Linked DNA regions of Saccharomyces cerevisiae S288C. The protein of the gene in region 3 interacts with the protein of the main gene of each other region in a biochemical or structural test. Each region holds a gene or a part of one and is shown on either strand. Other genes may lie near its edges. The genes, in order: CLC1, YHB1, IKS1 and YML045W-A.

What was found.
Region 1: the proteins of IKS1 (region 3) and CLC1 form a complex in vitro, tested with the Saccharomyces cerevisiae proteins (one large-scale study listed by BioGRID).
Region 2: the proteins of IKS1 (region 3) and YHB1 form a complex in vitro, tested with the Saccharomyces cerevisiae proteins (one large-scale study listed by BioGRID).
Region 4: the proteins of IKS1 (region 3) and YML045W-A form a complex in vitro, tested with the Saccharomyces cerevisiae proteins (one large-scale study listed by BioGRID).

The regions. Positions count from the first base shown.
Region 1 is NC_001139.9:830,918-835,678, forward strand, and holds CLC1 (clathrin light chain CLC1), read left to right. Parts: upstream 1-1,538; coding exon 1,539-2,240; downstream 2,241-4,761. Other genes in the region: TRS65 (Trs65p), read left to right, coding at 1-1,280; PEX35 (Pex35p), read right to left, coding at 2,435-3,565; pseudouridine synthase PUS6, read right to left, coding at 3,772-4,761. UniProt on the Saccharomyces cerevisiae protein: Clathrin is the major protein of the polyhedral coat of coated pits and vesicles. In yeast, it is involved in the retention of proteins in an intracellular membrane compartment, presumably the trans-Golgi. The yeast light chain is important for cell growth.
Region 2 is NC_001139.9:956,163-961,603, reverse strand, and holds YHB1 (flavohemoglobin), read right to left. Parts: upstream 1,701-5,441; coding exon 501-1,700; downstream 1-500. Other genes in the region: MIC26 (Mic26p), read left to right, coding at 1-244; PHO81 (Pho81p), read left to right, coding at 3,394-5,441. UniProt on the Saccharomyces cerevisiae protein: Is involved in NO detoxification in an aerobic process, termed nitric oxide dioxygenase (NOD) reaction that utilizes O(2) and NAD(P)H to convert NO to nitrate, which protects the fungus from various noxious nitrogen compounds.
Region 3 is NC_001142.9:327,023-333,529, forward strand, and holds IKS1 (protein kinase IKS1), read right to left. Parts: upstream 3,100-6,507; coding exon 1,096-3,099; downstream 1-1,095. Other genes in the region: BIT61 (Bit61p), read right to left, coding at 1-851; ZAP1 (Zap1p), read right to left, coding at 3,409-6,051; LOG1 (Log1p), read left to right, coding at 6,335-6,507.
Region 4 is NC_001145.3:181,180-186,982, reverse strand, and holds YML045W-A (gag protein), read right to left. Parts: upstream 2,523-5,803; coding exon 1,200-2,522; downstream 1-1,199. Other genes in the region: PRP39 (Prp39p), read right to left, coding at 3,620-5,509.

The DNA.
Region 1 (4,761 bases), on a different chromosome or scaffold from region 3:
CAAAGTATACATTAGATAAGTACTCTAGCGAGGAGATTTTGCCAAGTTTTGAGCCAGTTTATTCCTGGTCTTCTGCAGCCACCAAATCATCCAAAAATACTAATAATCATCTGGAGAAAAATAACAGGGCGACTCATCGAGTTAGTTCTAAAAATAGCGAAGTCCACGAAGCGGACGTTTCTAGAAATCCGAATACATTTACTCTTAAGCTCCAATACCCAATATTCTCACTTTTGAATATGAGATTGAGAAACATCTCCTTGAAATCTGAGCATTGCATATTATCATCGTTAGACTTTCAAACTTCTAAAGCATCCGAACAACTGACCAAAAAATTTATTTATCCGCAAGAACACAATTCTTTTCTCAAACTGAACTTTCAAGAAATATCGTATAAACTAATCGACGGAACCTCTCAAATTGAACTAGATCCAATCTGTCCTTTGAAAGTGCCACTCACTGCATTTTCATACGATAGCATTAGCGCTACTTTTAAACTGGTTCTGTTACCCAAATCAACTCAACCACATCGTGTGAAAATCACCTTAGCGTACGAACTCGAGCTGCATCCCAATCTGAAGTTACCTGTGAGAACATCATGGGAAACAGAAGTCACATTGAAGCGTTCTATGCCAATTTCCTCGACATCTTCTCAATACTCGAGTAACAACAATAATACCAATCATAGCGCTTCTTTTAATGGTGCGGCCAACAACGTTAATTCTGGTGGTTTGGCCAATCTAAGATTAGGTGGGGTTTCCTCCTCAAGATTTAGTCTTGGAGCTGCTTCGACTACATCATTGGTGAATAGCAAATTAAGCAATGTAAAATTCAAGTTTATTAATAGCAATATAAAAGTTATTAAGGGCGAAAAGTTTACTATGAGGCTTCAGATCATTAACTCGTCATCATCCCCCCTGGATCTTGTTGTGTATTATAACAATACAATAAACCCAATCCCTTCAGCTAATAACGTACGTAACAGCAATGGTATAAACAACTGTGGCATGAATAATGGGACTATCCCCAATTCGCCCTTGACACTGGAAAATCAGTACCAACTGCATAATAAATATAGAAAAATTGCGGAGGGGATTATACTATTATCCAACGATTACAAAATTCCAGTTGTACCTCCGAGAGAAACATACTTCGCGGATTTACGATTTATTGGTATTATGTCCGGATATTATGGCACTCTCTCCGGACTTAAGGTATTGGATTTAAATACAAATGAACTTATAGAAGTTGGAAATGGCGCATCTGTGTTAATCCAGTAAGCGGAACAAGTATACATTTTATTAACATAGACTACATACTAATCTGTAACATTTCTATAAAAAAGTTATTATCATCACATTACACGATAGAAACACTTCCATATTTTTTTACACTGAAAGGGGCACCTAGAAGATTAAACAACTAAACTGAAAATATACGTGCTAGAAAAAGGGTTTTACAGCTTTACTTAGGCGTTGCGAGTCACCCAAAAGAGCAGTTGAAGGACGCCGCCGTTTCACTAGATACATATATATATAATGTCAGAGAAATTCCCTCCTTTGGAAGATCAAAACATTGATTTCACACCCAACGACAAAAAAGATGACGACACCGATTTTTTAAAAAGAGAAGCAGAGATACTTGGAGACGAGTTCAAGACTGAACAGGATGACATATTGGAAACGGAGGCTTCCCCCGCCAAAGATGATGACGAAATTAGGGATTTTGAAGAGCAATTTCCAGATATCAACTCCGCAAATGGCGCAGTCTCGAGCGATCAAAATGGTAGTGCTACTGTATCTAGTGGTAATGACAATGGCGAGGCAGATGATGATTTTTCCACATTCGAAGGTGCCAATCAGAGTACAGAATCCGTTAAAGAGGATCGTTCTGAAGTTGTAGACCAATGGAAACAACGTCGTGCTGTAGAGATTCACGAAAAGGATTTAAAGGACGAGGAGTTAAAAAAGGAATTGCAGGATGAAGCTATCAAACATATTGACGATTTTTACGATTCTTACAATAAAAAGAAGGAACAACAATTGGAAGATGCTGCTAAGGAAGCTGAGGCTTTCTTAAAGAAAAGAGATGAATTTTTTGGTCAAGACAATACGACCTGGGATCGTGCACTTCAATTAATTAACCAAGATGATGCCGATATCATTGGGGGTAGAGACAGGTCTAAGCTTAAAGAAATTCTTTTGAGATTGAAAGGTAACGCGAAGGCTCCCGGTGCTTAAATGATGATGAATAATAAGAACCATAATGAACTAAGGAAGAGAAGGGGCTTATTCCCTATCATTCCCGTCATACATGAGTATCATACTTGATAGGTTCAGTAAATAACTAATTCATACTGTAAATTCATTTATCAAGACAACTATAATATAGATTATTTACAAACTTGTAAACTCTTCTCTTCTAAAAAAACACATCACATAATACTAAGCTGAAACAAAAAGAATAGTATATATTTCCCAAAGTTGCAATGCCAATACTTTTTCAAGTAAACATTAACCAAGGACTTCGCAAAGAATTTTGCGAAAAATGGGCTGATTTTCATTTTACTTGTTGGATCCACGAAGGTGAATGTAAGAAGCATCACGATGCACCGCAATTTGTTGCCCATTAATCTGCGCCTTTTCGTGACGAATAAATATTCGATACACTGCCTTAATATAGTCCATTTTAGACTTGGAAAAAAACCCTTGGTGAAATATGAATTTATTATCTTTTCGTTTATATTTGCATAATTATCATCAATTGTAACTTCATGTATTTCATTTAGTCTGTCCATTACATGCTTCAAATTTGATGAAGATATGGGCCAATCATTATGGTTCTTGACCCCAAGGTATTGAGAAAAGTTCCTGACTTCGTGGCCGCCGACATTCTTATTTGATTTCGTCCCTGAAGTAAAAAAGAATTTTAATGTTCTGTGATATACTGCCAAAACTGTGAAAATGGCATTGATTGTGAAGAAATCTATTAAAAATGGCCTATGGTCAAAAAGCACACGGAATGGTAACGAACTCCTGTCCAGTTTGGCAAATAATACAATAATCGCTAAACACACAAGAATTTGCTGGAATTTTATTAATGTACCCTGGGAAAAATTTTTTTTTTTCAACCATTGTGTTAATTTTGCGATCTTTAATTTGGAGGCTATAGCTTCCACAAGAAAGTGTGCGATAATCCACGAAGGTACCTCACCCTTGGTAAGCATTAACGATATTCCTACAATGGAAGACCAGTGAATATAATGATTTTTTAAAAATGGGAACTTCATCAAAGTTGGATATAGTATGTTCAGCAAGACTAATATAGTAGACTCTCTTAGCCATGGCATGATATCATTTATTTGAATATTTTCACCCTGTAATTTTTTCAATTTCCATTTTTTGACATAAAATACTAGGTTTATTCCATAGACTTGGGTTATTCTTTTCAAGATGATGACGAGTTGTTTTCTTCTCTTCTTGTTCAAGAGGAGTAGAAGCCTTCTTATTATCTGCTTGAAGCCAGAAACTGCTTTCCCAGTACCATTTGGACGATTGTGTTTCATATAGTTAGCAAGTGTATACTCTCATTAGCTCTGTTCGCGATGTGTATTTCGTGGTGCTTTATATAGGGTTTTTAACTTTTCCCCATGAACATTCGCTGTTATGTATTCGCAACTAAAAATAATGTCTCTCTTTAATTTTAATTTACATCCAAAGTACGGAAATGGTAACTAAACTATATACAAAAAAAGTTCGCTCAAAAAAAAGTTTAACTATTGTCCAATTGTGCCCATTTTGGTAAATCTGTTTTGAACTTGAATTTGCCATTAATCTCCTCATACTTCCAAGCATGCAACCATAATTCTAGGTCTGATAGCACAGGATCCTTTAAATCAACAGTATGACATTCAGGACAAAATGTTTCCATTGTCCGACAATTATTTTTTGTCTCATCGACAAATTTTTGAAACCTCACTTTCAATTCCTCAGCATCTAAATCCTGCTGATTCTCCCATCTAGGAAACTGAGTTATAAACTTAAGCCTTTCGGGGTATTTTGTAATATGCGAACAATAAACACTATCGTTGACGATGGGATGACCGAGCCTAGCTAAATGGATTCGAATTTGGTGTGTTCTTCCAGTTATTGGCTTACAAGCGACGACAGTTTCATCAGCATGAGAGAAGTATCTTATTGGGTAGAACTTGGTAATAGCATCCTTCGATGTCGATAAACCAACTGGAAACTGTCTCTTTGGATCGATAGAATATATGGGTGTCATTTCCACTGTAACTTTGGAAGTGTCCTCAAAAGTCGTTTCCGCCGCATTTTCATTGTCCAATATCAATTCGGAGTGAGGAAATCTTCCCTTGACCCTTGCCAAGTAGATCTTAATCATATCTCTTGAACGAATACTCTTCTGGATTTCCCCCGCACTCTGACTGTTCTTGGCCAATATCAACAAGCCTGATGTGATCTTGTCTAACCGATAACAAGGAAGAGCATCTACACCATGTAACTTCAGTAATTCAGTAATTGTGTTCTGGTAAAACTGACCGGTTGGATGCACTGGTATACCACTGGGTTTATCAATGACGAGGATACTCTCATCTTCAAAAACAATATTGAATCCCGCTATTCTGCCAGGTAAATCCTCCGCTTCAACTTCCTGGCTACACCATTGTTTTACCGGCGGTTCGTGCTTATGCGTAGTTGTTTCTAAAACATCATGATTCTTGATTATGGTAGTCATGAGATG
Region 2 (5,441 bases), on a different chromosome or scaffold from region 3:
GGGGTCTTGTTGTTTTGCGTATGCAATGCCAACAACCTTCAGGAACACCATGGGTCTCATCCATAATCTAGAAATGAACACCTTTCCACACTTTACCGAAAGACAAGATCGTGTTTGGAAAGAAACAAAGAGATTAAGTACCGCGTCTGTGCAATACTACTATGATGCCAAAAAATGGTTGAACAAAGATGTAGAAAAAACAGGGAATGCAATCAAAAATTGGACTGGCGTTAACGTGAAGTGAACTCTGTTTAGCACCTGGCGCTTATTCATCTTATAAATACATACACAATCTTTACTTACTATCTAAATATTCCACATAGGATTTCACAAGGATTTCACGAGGATTTCTAACACAGTATAACAACAAAAGATTAGCAATGGTCTCATGTTTTAAAAATTTTTCTTATTTCGTAATATAACTTCTCAAACTGTGAAATCGAACAAGTGAAATTATCAAATGAATCAGTAATAAAATTGAAGTTTCCGAGGCTTAACGCCTAAACTTGCACGGTTGACATCTTTGGACCAAATGGTTCATAGTGAATCATATCATCACGATGCTCTAGTTCTTTTAGATGACCAATCATAGCTTGCATAAAAGCTAAAGAGCCGCAAGTGTAGACATCGGCATGCGCAGGTGACTTTTCCTTCAAGAATGCAGCATTAATCAGTGGTTCAGTATCAGTATGAACAATTATTTTGTCGACATTCGCACATTCAGCTAATAGTTCATCTACATGTTTTTTGAATGCTTGAGTCTTTTCATCATAGGAAGATTGAATCCAGTAAATTGGCCTATTTGGGTTGCATTTGACTTGTTCTTCTAACATAGCTAAAAGTGGTGTAACACCAACACCAGACGATAGTAACACCAATGGAACTTCGTTTTGGTGTATCAACTCTTTATTTATTGCGAAATCACCAGCCGGAGCACTAAGCTTAATTTCATCACCAACTTTAGCGTCCTTGTGTAAATATTCAGAGACTAATCCTGCAGGAAAATTTTCTCTGGCAGCTTCCATCTTTACTGCAAATCGTAAACCATTTTTAGTTGAAGCAGAACAAAGAGAGTAGTGTCTTAAAGCGTCGTATTGGTTTTCCTGTCTAATTGGGTGAGTGTTTACCGTAATATACTGACCTGGAGTGATTGGCAAGCTTTCCAATTCAATACCAGAACCGAACTTTGGCTTAACAGTAAATTCAACAATATCTGAAGCAACGTACTCTTTGGCAGTAATGTCAAATGGTTTCCAACCTGGCCATAAAGCTTCTTCGTACATTTTTTTTTCAACAGTGATGAAGATGTCAGCAATTGCTTGGTAAGCCTCGCCCCATGCATTAATTATCTCTGGAGTCGCAGCATCGCCTAAAACTTCCTTGATTGCTTTTAACAAGTACTCACCAACGATTGGATAATGCTCAGGTTTAATTTGCAAGGCACGATGCTTGTGGCCAATTTGCTTGACATGGTCCATAAGCACAGACAAATCGTCAATGTTCTTAGCCGCTGCCAAAACAGTAGTGGCCAAGGCATTTGGTTGTGCGCCAACCTTTTGATTAGTTCTGTTAAAAATATTAAGTAATTCGGTGTGTTCAGTAAGCATATTTTTGTAGAATGTACGCGTGATGACAGTGCCCTGCTGTTCCAAAACAGGAACGGTTGCTTTGATTATGGAACGGGTTTTTTCGGCTAGCATAATGAATAAAGTCTTTGTGTGGTTTGTTGAAAATGGTAAAAAATGAACAAGAATATACTGTATAAGAAAAATCAAGTCTCCACCTCAACCCACAATATTGTTATATATATATATATATATATATTTCCGTGTGTGTACAACATATTTCATCAGTAGTCTTGTACTTGACCACACACGGAACTGAAATGAAACTTTAACGGCAACAATTCAATAATAGTTGCTCTTAGATCTCCGTACAAGGAATGGTTAATTTCCGTATTTTCAGGTGGCATCAATACCATAATGTGTGAGTGCCAGCAAAAGATAGTTTTACAGGCGGTTCCTGCATTGCTTTCTGAGAGGGATGATCTGAAAACTATCCGTCGAAGACGCATAAGCGCGTCCGCTATTTTAGTAACGATTAGTAATCGAGCATTTAAAATTGACATTATTGGATAAAAAGAATACGTTATATCGGCCGGAGGATCCAACTTTAGTAGAAATAGAAAGATTTGCCGCGCAGACTATCATTTTCAGTTTAAATCCTCCACAGTATCAGAGTAGGCATCAAGGATGCCTTCCTTTGCTGGTACTCTGGGAAAATGTACCAGTTGGCAACGCAGGCGAACCAATAAACGAAGATTTCGGTCATTTGTTTTGCCGTCTGACCTTCTCAATTAGATTATGTCTTGGCAATTATACGAAGCTTGTGATTTTAAAAATGAGCCATGAGCTTGTTCGGAGAAGAGTCGCCTAAGGTACAGTGTGCACAGTTTTGCTTTTCAACGATGAATGCTTGAGCGTGGCGAAGAAAACCTTGCGGGCTTTTCGAAAATGTAAGGAATAAAAATGAAGTTTCCTGATTTATAAGCAAGCAATCACTGAACGAGAATATCTTGTAGTTAAGTGACTATCAAACGAGCATGAGGGTTACAAAGAACTTCCGTTTCAAAAATGAATATAATCGTACGTTTACCTTGTGGCAGCACTAGCTAACGCTACGTGAATGAACGTACCGTGCCCTATTATTCTTGCTTGTGCTATCTCAAGAATTGCATTTTGTAATAACAACTGCATGGGAAAAATTATATAGATTTTCTACTATTATGTCCGCCTAAGTCAGTTAACCATCTTTATCACAAAATATACAATTAACCAACTACTTAATCAATTCGGTTATATTGCTTAGTATATACGTCTTTGGCACGCGATTGAAACGCGCTAATTGCATCAGCCTATCTTTCTATGCAAGAATGCAAGAAAAATTGATGTGATGTGCCTTATCACAATTCATTACCTCCTATTTCCTCTGCAGCAACAAGTTTCCTTGATTATAAAGGTCTTTAGCGTGAGAGGTACAGGTGTTATGGCACGTGCGAATAAGGGCAGAAATTAATCAAATTTATCAACTATTTGGCGATGGCTCGAGACAGGTATAGAACCACTACTAGGTGATATTGAGGCTTTTGTACAATTTATAGCAAGTTTTTGAGAGTCCCTTCAAGTTTGTTACATAATCTTCTTTGTGCAACGTACAAGAGCAAAGTAGAAAAATTTGGTTTTTATTTTTTTAAGCAACATCAGCTGCACTAGTTGAGCTTTTGACAAGACATACTGCTCAAAAAATCTTCATAACATTATTTTTCGGTTCCACAGTGATTGAGCTTTTTGAGAGAATAACCCTTTGGAGGCAACATAGATAGATAAACGTGCAATGAAATTCGGCAAGTATTTGGAAGCCAGGCAGTTGGAACTGGCGGAGTACAACAGCCATTTTATTGATTATAAGGCTCTAAAGAAACTTATCAAACAATTGGCCATTCCCACGCTAAAGGCTAGTTCAGATTTAGATTTGCATTTAACATTAGATGACATCGACGAAAAAATTATACATCAGAGACTGCAAGAAAATAAAGCTGCCTTTTTTTTTAAACTAGAGAGGGAGCTGGAAAAAGTAAATGGTTATTATTTGGCGAGAGAGTCCGATTTAAGAATAAAATTCAATATATTACACTCAAAATATAAAGATTATAAGATAAATGGTAAGCTAAACTCAAACCAAGCTACCTCATTTAAAAACTTATATGCGGCTTTCAAAAAGTTTCAAAAGGATCTTAGAAATTTGGAGCAGTATGTTGAGTTAAATAAAACGGGATTTTCAAAAGCTCTGAAGAAATGGGACAAGAGATCTCAATCTCACGATAAAGATTTTTACCTTGCTACTGTTGTTTCCATTCAACCAATTTTTACCAGAGATGGGCCACTAAAATTAAACGATGAAACTTTACATATTCTCTTAGAGCTGAATGATATTGACAACAACAATAGAAGGGCAGACATACAATCCAGTACGTTTACTAATGACGATGATGACGACAATAATACCAGCAACAATAATAAACACAATAATAATAATAACAATAATAATAACAACAACAACAACAACAATAATAATAACATATTACACAATAATTATGAATTAACAACATCAAAGATTTCGGAAAACCAACTTGAACATCTTTTTCAAGCATCTTCCTCCTCCTTGGACATGGAGATGGAAATCGAAAACTGGTATAAGGAAATTTTGAATATAGCCACGGTGAAAGATGTTCAAAGAAAGCATGCACTACTAAGAAACTTCAGAGAAACCAAGATATTCACATATCTGCTACAAAATTCCTCAGAATCTTTTCATAAAAATGTCTTTTCTTTGTTGAAGGAGTGCTTAACGACGCTGTTTTTATTACTGGTGGCTAGTCCTTTGGACGATAACTCTCTGCATATTTTCTATAAAAGCAATCAGGATCATATTGATCTGTCATATTGTGACGAAGATGATCAAGTATTTTCACGAAAAAACGTATTTCACGAGGCTGCAAGTTGTCCAGAAAAATCACGCTTATTTATTCTAGATGAGGCTTTAACAACATCAAAGTTATCTAAAGAAACAGTACAAAAACTACTGAATGCCCAAGATATACATTCGCGGGTGCCGCTACATTATGCTGCAGAGCTAGGAAAACTGGAATTTGTTCACTCGTTGCTAATCACCAATCTTTTAGAGGACGTTGATCCCATTGATAGTGATTCTAAGACACCCTTGGTTTTGGCTATCACTAACAACCACATAGATGTTGTTAGGGATCTGCTGACTATTGGTGGTGCGAACGCATCACCCATTGAAAAGCCAATTCTGGATTATAGTAAGAATGTAATCAGCTCTACTAAAGTCCAGTTCGATCCTTTAAATGTTGCTTGTAAATTTAATAATCATGACGCCGCCAAGTTACTTTTAGAAATTCGGAGTAAGCAAAATGCTGATAATGCCAAGAACAAAAGTTCACAACACTTGTGTCAACCGCTTTTCAAAAAGAACTCAACAGGTTTATGCACTCTTCATATAGTGGCAAAAATTGGCGGCGATCCACAATTAATTCAACTATTGATACGTTATGGGGCGGATCCCAACGAAATTGATGGGTTTAATAAATGGACGCCCATTTTTTACGCTGTTCGTTCAGGTCATTCTGAAGTTATTACTGAACTATTGAAACATAATGCACGTCTGGATATTGAAGATGACAACGGCCATTCGCCACTTTTTTACGCCTTATGGGAGAGCCACGTTGATGTTTTGAATGCACTTTTACAAAGACCATTAAATTTGCCATCTGCACCCCTGAATGAAATAAATTCGCAGTCTAGTACGCAACGCCTTAATACAATAGATTTAACCCCAAATGATGACAAATTTGATTTAGA
Region 3 (6,507 bases):
GGATCAGTTCCAGAAAGCGGATCCTCAACGATTGTGTTGGGATTGACACCAGATGGATTAACATTCAATGAGTACACAGAAGTTCCTGAGTCCACAAGTTGCCCCGCATTAGTATGAATAAATTGTGACGGAGATTTATGTCTTCCGTAAGAGGAATGCAGAAATTTACTCAAGGAATTTGGAATTGCAGGCTCGATAGCATCTTGACCAATGTGCCTGTGGCTTTTATTTTGGAAAAAGTTCTTAATCACGTTTCGAAATGAATGTGAACTATTATGTAAGGTGCTTGAATCTGTCAAAAAGGAGGCAGGATCCGATGAAATGGTCGTATGTGCTCTGTTTCTCCTATTAAAAAAGCCAGAAGCCTTTCCTTTCATATACCTGCCGGAGGGCGTGGAGTGTAAACTTTTCTGAGTAATGGATATTGCATCAGAAGATAACTTTTTAGATAGATTGTTCGAGCACTCCACCGTGTCAACGCTATGAGATTCCCCTATCTGAGAAGAACCAGATTTAGATGTTGCAGCTGAGGCATTGTCATTGCTCCTCAAGGAATGATTTGAGGCCACACTGACCTTCGATCGAGGATGATCTACTGTATGGAATATGGATTGGAAGCCAACGTTAGAAACACTAGGGCTAATGGGGTTCCTCGAGCCCTTCAAATTCTTGATGGAATAAACGTCATCATTTGATGTGTCTACAAGAGTTTGCCGGCTAATCTCGCTTGTAGTCTGAAAATTTTTTACTGGGGCTGTGGCTAATTGCACATTAAGGTATTGTTCGCTATTGACAGGGCGTTGTGTCGTAGTAGATGTTCTTTCTCGAAGGAGTATATCTTCTGCTGTCATAATGAAAGAACTTTATTTCTACAGAGGTCAATTGGCGTTTCTGTCACCTAGATCTTTTCATTTGGTTATTCCCTCTATAAATTTACTCATCGGTCAATTTTTCTAACATTATGCACCTTTGTCACCGGCCCTTAGAAGAGGTGAAGATGATTCGTGAACATTGGTGATAAGCGAGAATATTTTCTATAAATTTGTAAAGTAAAAATAAATTACGTGCTATTTAGTTTGCAATGTGTACTTATTGTTAGTATATGTATTTTTTGCATGCGGCGATGAAGGCCAGTAAAACCAACGCTCTTGCATGCTTACCTCTTTCATCAGCTGGTGATTTAAAAACCATTCCCAACAATATCAGTGACATATAAGAGAGCCACGACCCCGTTTTGGTACACTTAAATATGATTATCGTTAATATCATAGAAACTAGTTTGTAACAAACCTGGATTGTTCTATTTAAAGCAGAATACTTTTGGAGGTTTTGGGTTGATACGGTGCTCAAATTTTCCTCTGGTGCTGGTAATGATAAAGTAACGTTGTCTCCGTCAATATAATCATCAGTAAAACTGTTGGTATTCTCATTCACTTCCGAGATTGTACTGAAGTTCAAAGTGCTATCCACATTTTCTTTCCAGAATTTTTTGCCGGGTTTGGAATTTATTAGCATTTCATCTAACGTCTCCTCCACTGTCTTCGCTGTGGGTCTAGCATCATTATTTGGTTGTAAAAGAGCGTCCATTAGGTGAAATATTCTACGGTCTATTGGTTTCAATTTCATCGCTTGATGCTTTTCAATCATACCTTCAGTGTCGAACCTAAAATTTTTGATGCGTACCTTCAAATCAACTATATCCAACTGTGGTTCAAAGGGCAATTCACCGAAGACAATAAAATAGCAAATCATTCCTAGAGAATACATATCGGAAGCAAAGGTGTATTCATTGTATGTGTGACTCGATCTTGAAGGCAACGTAGAAGAAGAAACTGGTCTCCCCTGGATAATAAGGTCTGGTGCTGTAAACTCTAATGTTCCTGTGCAACCAGTACCCAATCTGGACTCTCCTTCCAACTGACTTTCCCCCAAATCGCCAATAACAATTGATGGGAAAAACTCATCTGAATTGTGTTCCCTGTCGTATACGTTGTCATTCTCATTGTCACTTTTAAATGGAGTCAATAATAAACAGTTGGATGGTTTCAAGTCCCTATGTATTAGGCCAATACTGTGCAGTTCGTGTAAACCTCTTGCAATATCCCTTATAATGGATACGAGCTGTTCCGTAGATAGGCCAACTTCTCCTGATTTACCGTGATTTTTCTTGCGAGTTCTAAATTTTTTTTTCCTCTCTTCAGGTGATTCGGTATCTGAGAACCTATTGAACACTTTTCTTAGAATACAGTCTTCTAAATTGCCGCCACTGCAATACTGTTGTAAAATGAAAATACAAGGAACTTCTTCTTGTGAATCCGATTGGCTCCCATCAATGGATCTGACAAATCCAACCGAAGAATCCATTTCGAGCCACACATGATTATACGTAATCAAATTGGCACTTTTGTGAGTTAGCGAACTCAACGCTTTCACTTCCCGTATGCACTTATTAAACCATTCCATATCATTTCCAATAGGTATTTTTTTTAGTGCAAAAACACCTAATTCAGTATTACCAATTGTGTGTACAACTTTGTAAACAGAACCTCTTGCACCATTTCCCAGCAAAGACAATATTTTGAAAAATTTACGAAAGTATCCGGGGATAAACAAATCATCTGGAATAAAGTATTTGTTTTTGCTGAACTGTCCCTGCTTATTGTTACTATCGTTTTGTAGGGCGTAGTGCCGATGATTTCTTTCCAATGACTGAAAATATCTTCTTGAAAAGCTTGAATTGGCAAATTCAAATCCAAGTGGCACAGTGTTCTCTGGAATACTGAGCCTACTGCTTTCTGATTCTACTCCAGCAGAGGCTCGACGATGAAGTTGTCTTCTGTTTATAATATCAGGGTTAATTTCCGTACCACATTGCGGGCACACATAGGAAGCAATAGGGCTTTTGTATTGATGAATCCCTGAAGGAAAGTCCAGTGCTGATAAAGATGCAGTCTGGTCTTCATTTAGTTCAGAGTCATTATTACTGTTGTCCTGTTGGAAAAATGATAAAGTTCCTGAGGTTGGATTAACAACCACCACTGATTTAGAATTAGGATCATCTAAAATCAGCGAACCTTCTTCATATGGTACTAAACTCATTTCTAAGTTCTACTTATGCTATCCCTCAAACTATATATCTAATAGTGTTTCTTCGGTTACCTAGTTGTCACTCATAGGATCTATATATACAATGTCCTTCCCCCCCACCCCCTTTTCTGAAACGTATACAAAAAATAAAGCTTGAAATACGTTATTACGTAAAAAAAGTGTACTGTAAAAGCTTACAAAAAAGAGTTTGCGAAAAATTATAAATAAAAAGTAGTCTAGGTAAAATATGAAATGTTTCTAATTATGCATTTATGTGATCCTGAAAACCGCCCTTCTTACGTTGGACCATGATGATCACATTTATAAATATGGTTTTCTTTCCAATGCGCATTTCACTTTCTGTGAGTTCAATTTTCCCAAATCGTCAAAGCTTTTGGAACAGTCAGAGCACTTGTATTTTTTCTGATGGGTCTTAATATGTTTGCTCAAATTTGACGATTCGTTGAATCTCTTACCACAAATCTTGCATTGTAAAGGTTTTTCACCAGTATGGGTTCTTATATGAATCTTCAAAGAACTTGAAATCGCGAATTTTTTATTACAAATGTGACATTTGTAAGGTTTTTCGCCAGAGTGTGTCCTGGTATGCTGAACTAAAGTTTCTTCGCTTGAAAAACACCTTTTACATGTCTTGCACTTATAAGGTTTGTATTTCGAATGCACTTTTAAATGACGGATTAATTTTTGTCTTTGGGGGAACGTACGATGGCAGTCATGCCACAAGCATTGGTATTCAGACTTACCCCGGGTTAAATGTACTGCTTCTAAATGGTCGTTTAATTCCTGAGCACTGGAAAATGACTTATTGCAACCATCCCATTGGCAAATCACCTGTTCCGGCTGCTTGATTGGCGGTATATTGGAAACATCATTTGCAGACGTCATATCAGGTGCTCCATCTGCTTTAGAAACTTCGTGTGTTTGTGGGTTGGGGCAATGTAGTAAGTGATGTTTTTCCTTTGATATACTACCAGGCAAAAATGAGTCTGGGTTGGCAAATTGAATATCAAAATTGATACCATGTTGACAATTAATATGGTTCACTATGGAACATGTATCATCTCCAAGGAAATCACAGTCCTCCCAATTACAAGCTAATGGTTCCATAGGGTGTTTGAAATCTTGAGAGACATGATCCTTCAAAAGATGTCTTTGTAGGTCAAATAGTGAGCTACAAGACTCAGGACATTCTTTCCATTTGCATTTTAAGTCATTGTTTTTCTCTTCTTTAAAACACCAGTTGAAATTTATAGTGCTTGTTGTCTGTATAGGAGGAGAGATGCTAGAAGGTAATGAGTCTTCCAAAGAGCTGAAATCAGTAGATTCTAGATCTTTTGTAGGCCAAGATCTACGATTTTTCTGATTCTGATGAGTGACTTTGGGTAGCGAAGGGGGCTCACTTTGATTTCTAAATCTTTCATAACTATACTCTCTTGAAATTAAGTCATTTAAATCGTTGTTAGTTAGATCGGCTGTTGTGTTCGCCGCGCTAATCCCTGAATTGTTCACAATATTGTTTCTATTTGGTTTGTGAGAATGAAACTGTATTCTATGGTGATGGTGTTGATGATCAGTTGAAGTTGCTCCAGCCGTATTGTTATTGCTTCCATTAAGATTATTTTTAGGGTTGCATCTATTAATGCTTGATAATAGAAGATTCATTGTTTGGTTACCGTTTTCATTATTTCCTGTGCTCGAACCATCGCAGCCGTTACCGGCATTATTGTGGTCGTGGTGGTTAATGTGTTTTCCAAACGGTACTTCATACAAAGAAGAAATATTGCATAAATCTTCCAAAATCTTCAAATCCATATCAGTATTTAAGATATGTTCGTGATAAGCATGATTTGTACCTTGCAAAGTGTTTGTAGGTTTTCGTAAAGATGAACATTTGGGTGGTAGTTGAGGTGGCTTTGACTCTAAATGCATATGCTTAGAACAAGGTTGATTATCAGTGCTCTCCTCACAAAATTTGCAGTATTTATGGAAAACGTCATCATTATTTGATGATTGATGATCTTGAACAAACTTGTGACCACTAGTCGCGCTCGTGCTAGCCGTGCATGGGGTGTCACAGGTCAAATCGCAATCAATCTCCGATAAGTGAGACATCAGCTGAGAAAAGCTATCTGGTACAGTATTATTGTGATTGTGAGAGTCGTGATTGGTACTATTACAGTACTGATCATGAAGGTTAAAATTTGGCATCAAGTGATCGTTCTTTACATCTGTGAATATTGCAACATCATTGCCGTTCTCAGATATGTCTTTCTTTGTCGGTTGATCAGATTCACCTTGTTTTATATTAGCCTCACTTTTGGGATGAGTTTCGTCACAACATATTTCCAAAATCTTGGGCGTACAATAACAATCATCGGATCCAGGTGGTGGGTTCGGTTTATTTTTCTTGGAAGAGGGCAGCAGTATCAGATCGTCGTTAAACCAAGAATCTTTTCTACGTGGTAGGTCGCTTTTAGAATTCTGTTGGGGACTTGTCGGATCAGAAGCTACCGAATGGAAATTGTTTGCAAAAGAATGATTATTAGAATTATACGTTGCAGTATCATTATATTTTGTTAATGACGGATTATTGTGATAATTCAAGAACTCGAAATGTTGGCAGTCGGTGTACTCCTTGCATTTCTCATTGACGTGGCAATCACCACCCATATCATGGCTAGCTCCAGATGCAAATGCGGAAGTAGCGGCATCAGCAACAGCTGCGGCTGCAGGTGTTGCCGAAGCACTACTGTCGTTCACAGGCGCGCTGTGGTGAAGGTGACCATGGATATAGGTCAGGTTGTTGTAGTTATGGATGTGCCCGTGGACAATGCCTTCTTTACCTATCGTCAGAGCATCAGGCTTGGCAGAAGCAGCAGTGGCCGCACTCGTGGCCATCGAGTCATCGCGCTTGGGGGAGTCCCTGGGAGTCAACGCATCCATTAGTTCCTATCCTTCTTCTATTTAAAAAACCGTAACACATAAAAAGTAAAAGTGTAATGCTTCCGTCTCGCCGCTGGCCTATATTCACAGTGACTGCAGTTGCATCTTATATTGCCAAGCACGTTTCATCATGACCTTTAGGGTAGATGACTGCTGTCAACTACTCCGTCTGCAGTGATATATAATCATGTTTTGGGCGTTTAAGGAAGGAGAATTATTTCCAACAGTTGAATAGGAAGATCCCTAGAGTAAATCGCAGGCAATCCAGTACTAAGAAACGGCGATGACAATGGAAAAAAATGGAGGTAATAGCAGCCGTGGTGGCCAAGTAGGCGGCAAGTCTGTGTGTGTTTACTGCGGGTCTTCATTTGGCGCTAAGGCGCTATACTCAGAAAGTGCAGAAGAATTAGGAGCCCTTTTCCATAAGCTGGGATGGAAATTGGTATACGGTGGAGG
Region 4 (5,803 bases), on a different chromosome or scaffold from region 3:
TAACAGGTTGACCGAAAGGTAACAAAGTACTGATATCAAGTCCTGCCAAGCCAGCATGTTGTCTTGCAGATTTTTTGCTTTTAGGTGAAGCTAGTGAATTTCTCACAATAGTAGAAAATTCGATTGCAGAGAACCATAAATGGTTCGGTAAACCACTACATTGCAGTTGAGTACGGCAGTCATCTAATAAGGTACGGTTGAGCCGTTCAGCGACTCCATGTGCTCGGGAATCCGCTGTGGTTGTATAGCATGGAGTTATACCATTTTTTTCAAGGAATTTATGGAGAGTTCTGTTAGTATACTCAGAACCACGGTCCATTTGTATAACCAAGACACTGGCCTGAAACTGGTTCTTAATAAAAGCTAGTATCGTAGTAAAAACATCGAGGATAGAGTCCTCGCGACGGTCGTGTAATGGATAAACCCAACGGAATTTTGTTGTCTCATCAGTAAATGAGATGAAATAGGATGGTGCACTTTTTGGTAGGTTGTGAACTGGACCAAATATGTCAGTATGTAGGTATTGAAAGGGTTCGTATGAATTTTGGTATTTTAGTCGTGAACCTTTGATATGTCTGTGTTTGGTGCTTTTGCCGATTAAACAATCAGGACATTGATAGTCAATAGCACTAGACCAGTCGACATCTGATTCGTTAAAATACGTGATGGTGTTATTTTTAAGTGAGTATCGAATTGTCTGTGCATTGGCATGTGCAAGCATTCGATGAATGAAAGGATAAGGATATTTGCGTGTACTTTCACTTGTATGGACATTATTGATGGTGGGTACGGAGATATTTGATGGAAGCAAGTACTTTTTAGATACCCAGTAAAAGTCTCCATATTTTACGATAGGTGCAAGTACAGTGCCGTCAGACCGTTCTAAGACGTTTTTGGTAAAGCATGCTGTGATATCTACTGCAGCCAATTCATTCAAACTGAGTAAGTCATAGGCTATGTTAGGAGTGTGCAATACCTTTATTGATGTTTTGGTGTTGTCCTGGAAGTGAAATTGTAGGTCACCAATAGCGTTAATTGGTATATTTCTTTTTTGAGCATCAACTACGTTTATGTCAGGATTAGATGATGCTGAGTGTATGTGATGAGCAGATCTTATAAGGGTTCGTGATGCTCCTGAATCGAGAAGGAGGTGTCCAGGGAGTTCATCATCAGAATGATTAGTATGATTTACTGTAGATTCAGTAAGTTTCTGGCCTAAGATGAAGGTCGTGCTTATTGTTCAATTGAATCGGTTCAGTAGTTGATTTACTGATGGAATCGTTGTCCGTGCTGGGAGAGTTATTAGATGTGGATACATTGTGAGCCCTGGCTGTTTTCGATTTCGAATTATTTGTTTTTTGAGGATTCCGAGCTATAACTTTGGGTTTGGTTGTATTCGTATAGCTGCGAGAATCATTCTTCTCATCACTCGGATTTCTCCTGTAATTAGGTTTGCTGTTTCTCGATCCCTGTTGTTCTTCATAAATAGCATGGATATCTAAGAACAGTTCAGCGACTGTCATATTTAGATGTCGATGACGTGTGTAGCGTAAAAATTTATATTCGCCAGATAGACCTCTCATAATTAATTGGCATGCGACCTTGTTATTGATATGAATGCCATTATTGTTCAGTCTGTCGATAATGTTTGTGACTTTTGTTTCAAATGCATCTGCAGGTGTACTGCCATTATATTGCAAATTTGCCAGGGTCACAATGTCGTTTGCCTCTTGGGTATCAGATTGCATTTTTTCAATACTTTTGGAAAGAATTTTCATGATATCCGTATAATCAACGGATAGGATGTCTTTGACCCAGGTAGGTAGGAATTGAGAGGGAGCAAATATTTGAAAAGTGTTATACAAGAAGGTGAGTTCATCATCAGTGATCTGACGTACGGGTTTTCCGTTTACTGTCGGAATAATACCACCGAGATTCGAGTTTTGTAAAAATTTGATGTATGTTTTAACCCAATTTGGAAAGTCATTAGGTGAGGTTAACATTGGTGGTGGTCTGACATATTTTTTAGTGGATGTCATATCAGAGTCCGCTGAGGATGAATCAGTAAATGTATTACCTGACTCAGGTGATGGAGTGCTCAGAGGCGTTCCAACTGATGATGGATACTGCGGAAACTGTGATTGTGGCCCAGGTGGAAAGTACATAGGCGACATTTGATAAGGTGTATACGGAATCATAGATGGGTGTCCGTAAAATGACCAACCAGATGGATTGGCTTGGTTTTGGGTCATCATGCACTGCTGTGGGTACGGCCCATTCTGTGGAGGTGGTACTGAAGCAGGTTGAGGAGAGGCATGATGGAGGTTCTCTGGAACAGCTGATGAAGCAGGTGTTGTTGTCTGTTGAGAGTTAGCCTTAGTGGAAGCCTTATCATATTCTTGAATTTTGGAAGCTGAAACGTCTAACGGATCTTGATTTGTGTGGACTTCCTTAGAAGTAACCGAAGCACAGGCGCTACCATGAGATATATTTGGGTAATTAGATAATTGTTGGGATTCCATTGTTGATAAAGGCTATAATATTAGGTATACAGAATATACTAGAAGTTCTCCTCGAGGATATAGGAATCCTCAAAATGGAATCTATATTTCTACATACTAATATTACGATTATTCCTCATTCCGTTTTATATGTTTCATTATCCTATTACATTATCAATCCTTGCACTTCAGCTTCCTCTAACCTCGATGACAGCTTCTCATAACTTATGTCATCATCTTAACACCGTATATGATAATATATTGATAATATAACTATTAGTTGATAGACGATAGTGGATTTTTATTCCAACACATATAAACATTACCTTTGTTGCCCGTTCCCGGGAAATATTGTTTACAGATGGACAGAGACCTAGCAAACCCACAATTCCATTCGAGTTTGCCACAAGATGCAGCGCATAGCTACAGTTTTGAATAGACTGTACTGTGCATTTAAGAAGTTGTTATATATGGTTAGTTAACTCTATGTTCCAACAAATACCAATAAAGATCGCGCAAGTGGTTTAGTGGTAAAATCCAACGTTGCCATCGTTGGGCCCCCGGTTCGATTCCGGGCTTGCGCATATTTTTTTTTAATTCACCAAAAATATTTAATGTTTAGAAGTTGTTTTACATATTTGGACGTTTTCAAAATATCCTGACGATAGAAACAATCATTAATAGTCTTTACATATAAACAATATTTATCAAATTTTTCTGATTATATAACCATCAAAAAACACAGAAAAGGCCTGTCATTTCGATTTACGTAAACTAAATTAATAATAAATTTATTTCATCTACCTGTTTTACTCTTCATATTATTTGATTTCTGCGATTTAATAGAATCTTACCAACCTCTAATGTTTTTTGAATATATTTTAATTTAACAGGTTCAATAGTTACTTTTTTATTATAAATAATAACTTAAAATATTACATAAACTATTATTTATATTATCATACAATAATTTATTATATAATTATTTATTAACTCTACCAATATAGAATAAAACATTTTCAATAATAAATTATAAACAAGTAAATATTTGGGTACTCCTTCGGGGTCCGGCCGAGTAAATTATTATTTTAAATATAATTTATGATTTATGATTAATTTCATTTACCTTCCTTAAGAAATTCTTCAGTGTATAGATCATTAATCTTGACCTGATTAATTTTCTCCAAGTTTCTAAAATTAGGCAAACTGATGGGCTTTTGAATCAAAGTTCCTGAATTGCACTCAATTATACTGTTGGATATCTGCGGTCTTTCTGTCGTTATGCCGATGTGACCAGCCTCCTTCCATTCCGTCTTTTTATGCCAATCTACATTTGCTGTAGTATTTAATACTGGATCGTATTTTGGATTCGACATTTTCAGCTCAGGGTACAAGATAGGGTCAAATGTATTTGAATCTATAATGGAGGATTCATACGTGACGATATTTGAATGAGTTAAATAGAAAGTCTTATAATCCGTCAAAATATCATTCATTACTGTAGTCGGCAAGTATATTTCTACCCCAAGCTCCCTAATGAATTTATTCAGCTTGGTAAAATTTACATTACTCTTTTCAAATTTGTAGTAAGTTAACCAGAACGGTACAGAATTTTTAATGAGGATGTTTTTTTGATAAAGGTTGAAATATTTCCTTGTTTGCATATTATTTTTAAGTACAAGCCATGTAGTTTTTATCAATTCTACCACGACTATGCTTAAGTTTTTATCATTTATTAAGGTCTGTAAATGCACCTTGGCATCAATTTGATTATTGATGTAGTTGGTGATTGATGTCTCTAGGATTTTAGTAAACGATGTTTGTTTCTCTAGAATTTCCTTTGGCGATTGATCTAAGGAATTCTTAAAAGAATGTCTTTTCAACATACAAAGGTACTCCGTCATAAGTAATATGTCGTTGGGCCAAATCTTTAAATAACGCGATACTGTCTCATTGAATATGTTATTGAATAAGGTATTATTTGACCGATATTTTCTTTTCAAAAACCTAAGAAAATCATACCTCAAAGTTTTGAAATCCAGTGGTAAGAACGTATTGGCTTTTTGGTATATATCCACTACCACTTCATCGGATATATTTTTCTTTGTTAGCCACTTAATATACATCATCCACGTATTTTCATGGTAAAGACAAGGAATCAAACATCTGTCAAAAACGGACATTACGAATTCTTTATCCAAGGATTTTGAAGGATCCGTCACAAATTTTAAATATCGCGACCAATTTTCCAAATCATCATTTAACACTTGGCCCAGGTTGAAGAAGGGCTGTTTGATTTTCGATTCGAACTGCCAAATTTCATTTACTGTTGTTTGTGTTTTTCGTAAAACTATATCAATATTCCTTGTTGTCTTCAAATTTTTTTCATTTAAAAACTTCTTGTAAGATGTGAAAAACCGCGCATACTGATGTAGAGGAACTTCAATAATGTACTCGTATATTCTTTGAACGTTATGCCAATTCTTCTGCCCAACTTCAAATTCTATAAACTTGTCCCAAAAAGGGTGTGATAGAAACTGCTTGCCAATAAGATCCTTTGCAATTTCAAAATTATTCCTAATAAAATCCGTTTCGTTCGGGTTATTAACACACAACACATTCAAATAATCACACCATAACTCCAGAGAAGTTGGGAACCATTTGACCGAGGTGGCCAGAACAGCAATCGATTTCTTGAGACCAAATAACTGGTACTCAATAGTAGCAAACCTCTTCCAAAATCCAAACAATAAAGGGTACTTACGCAATATTTGCCATAAAATAGTTTCCAAGGCCAATTTGATTGAATCATTTGGATTGCCATATTTAACCACTGTTTGCTCTATAACATCTACCATTTGGGTCAACGAAGAAATATCTGACCAGTCTAAACCACGATATGCTTGTACTAATGCTGTGTTGTCTTGAAGGAACTGGGTGTCCAAACCTCGAAGGGCATCAGGCCTAGGCTCAATATCTTCTATTGTAAAATTTGTTTCATCTGGCATAACGAAAGACGGATTGCCAAGTATCCAATAGCAGTAAGGGCCAAAACTTTTTGTTGAACAAAGAAATGGCTGTGGAAGGCGCGTTTTTACTTTAGGACTTTGAAAACTTTCTTGCGTAAATTCTGTTTAAGTCTGAAACTTTCAACTCTGTATTAAATTTGTTTTAAGATGTGCGACGGCGACGTAAAATGGTAAAGAAAAAGAAAATGAATGATAGTAAATCATACTGAAAACGAATGATCTGAAACAATAAAAAAAGATATTTGTATATAAATTATTCAGCCATGCTCAAAC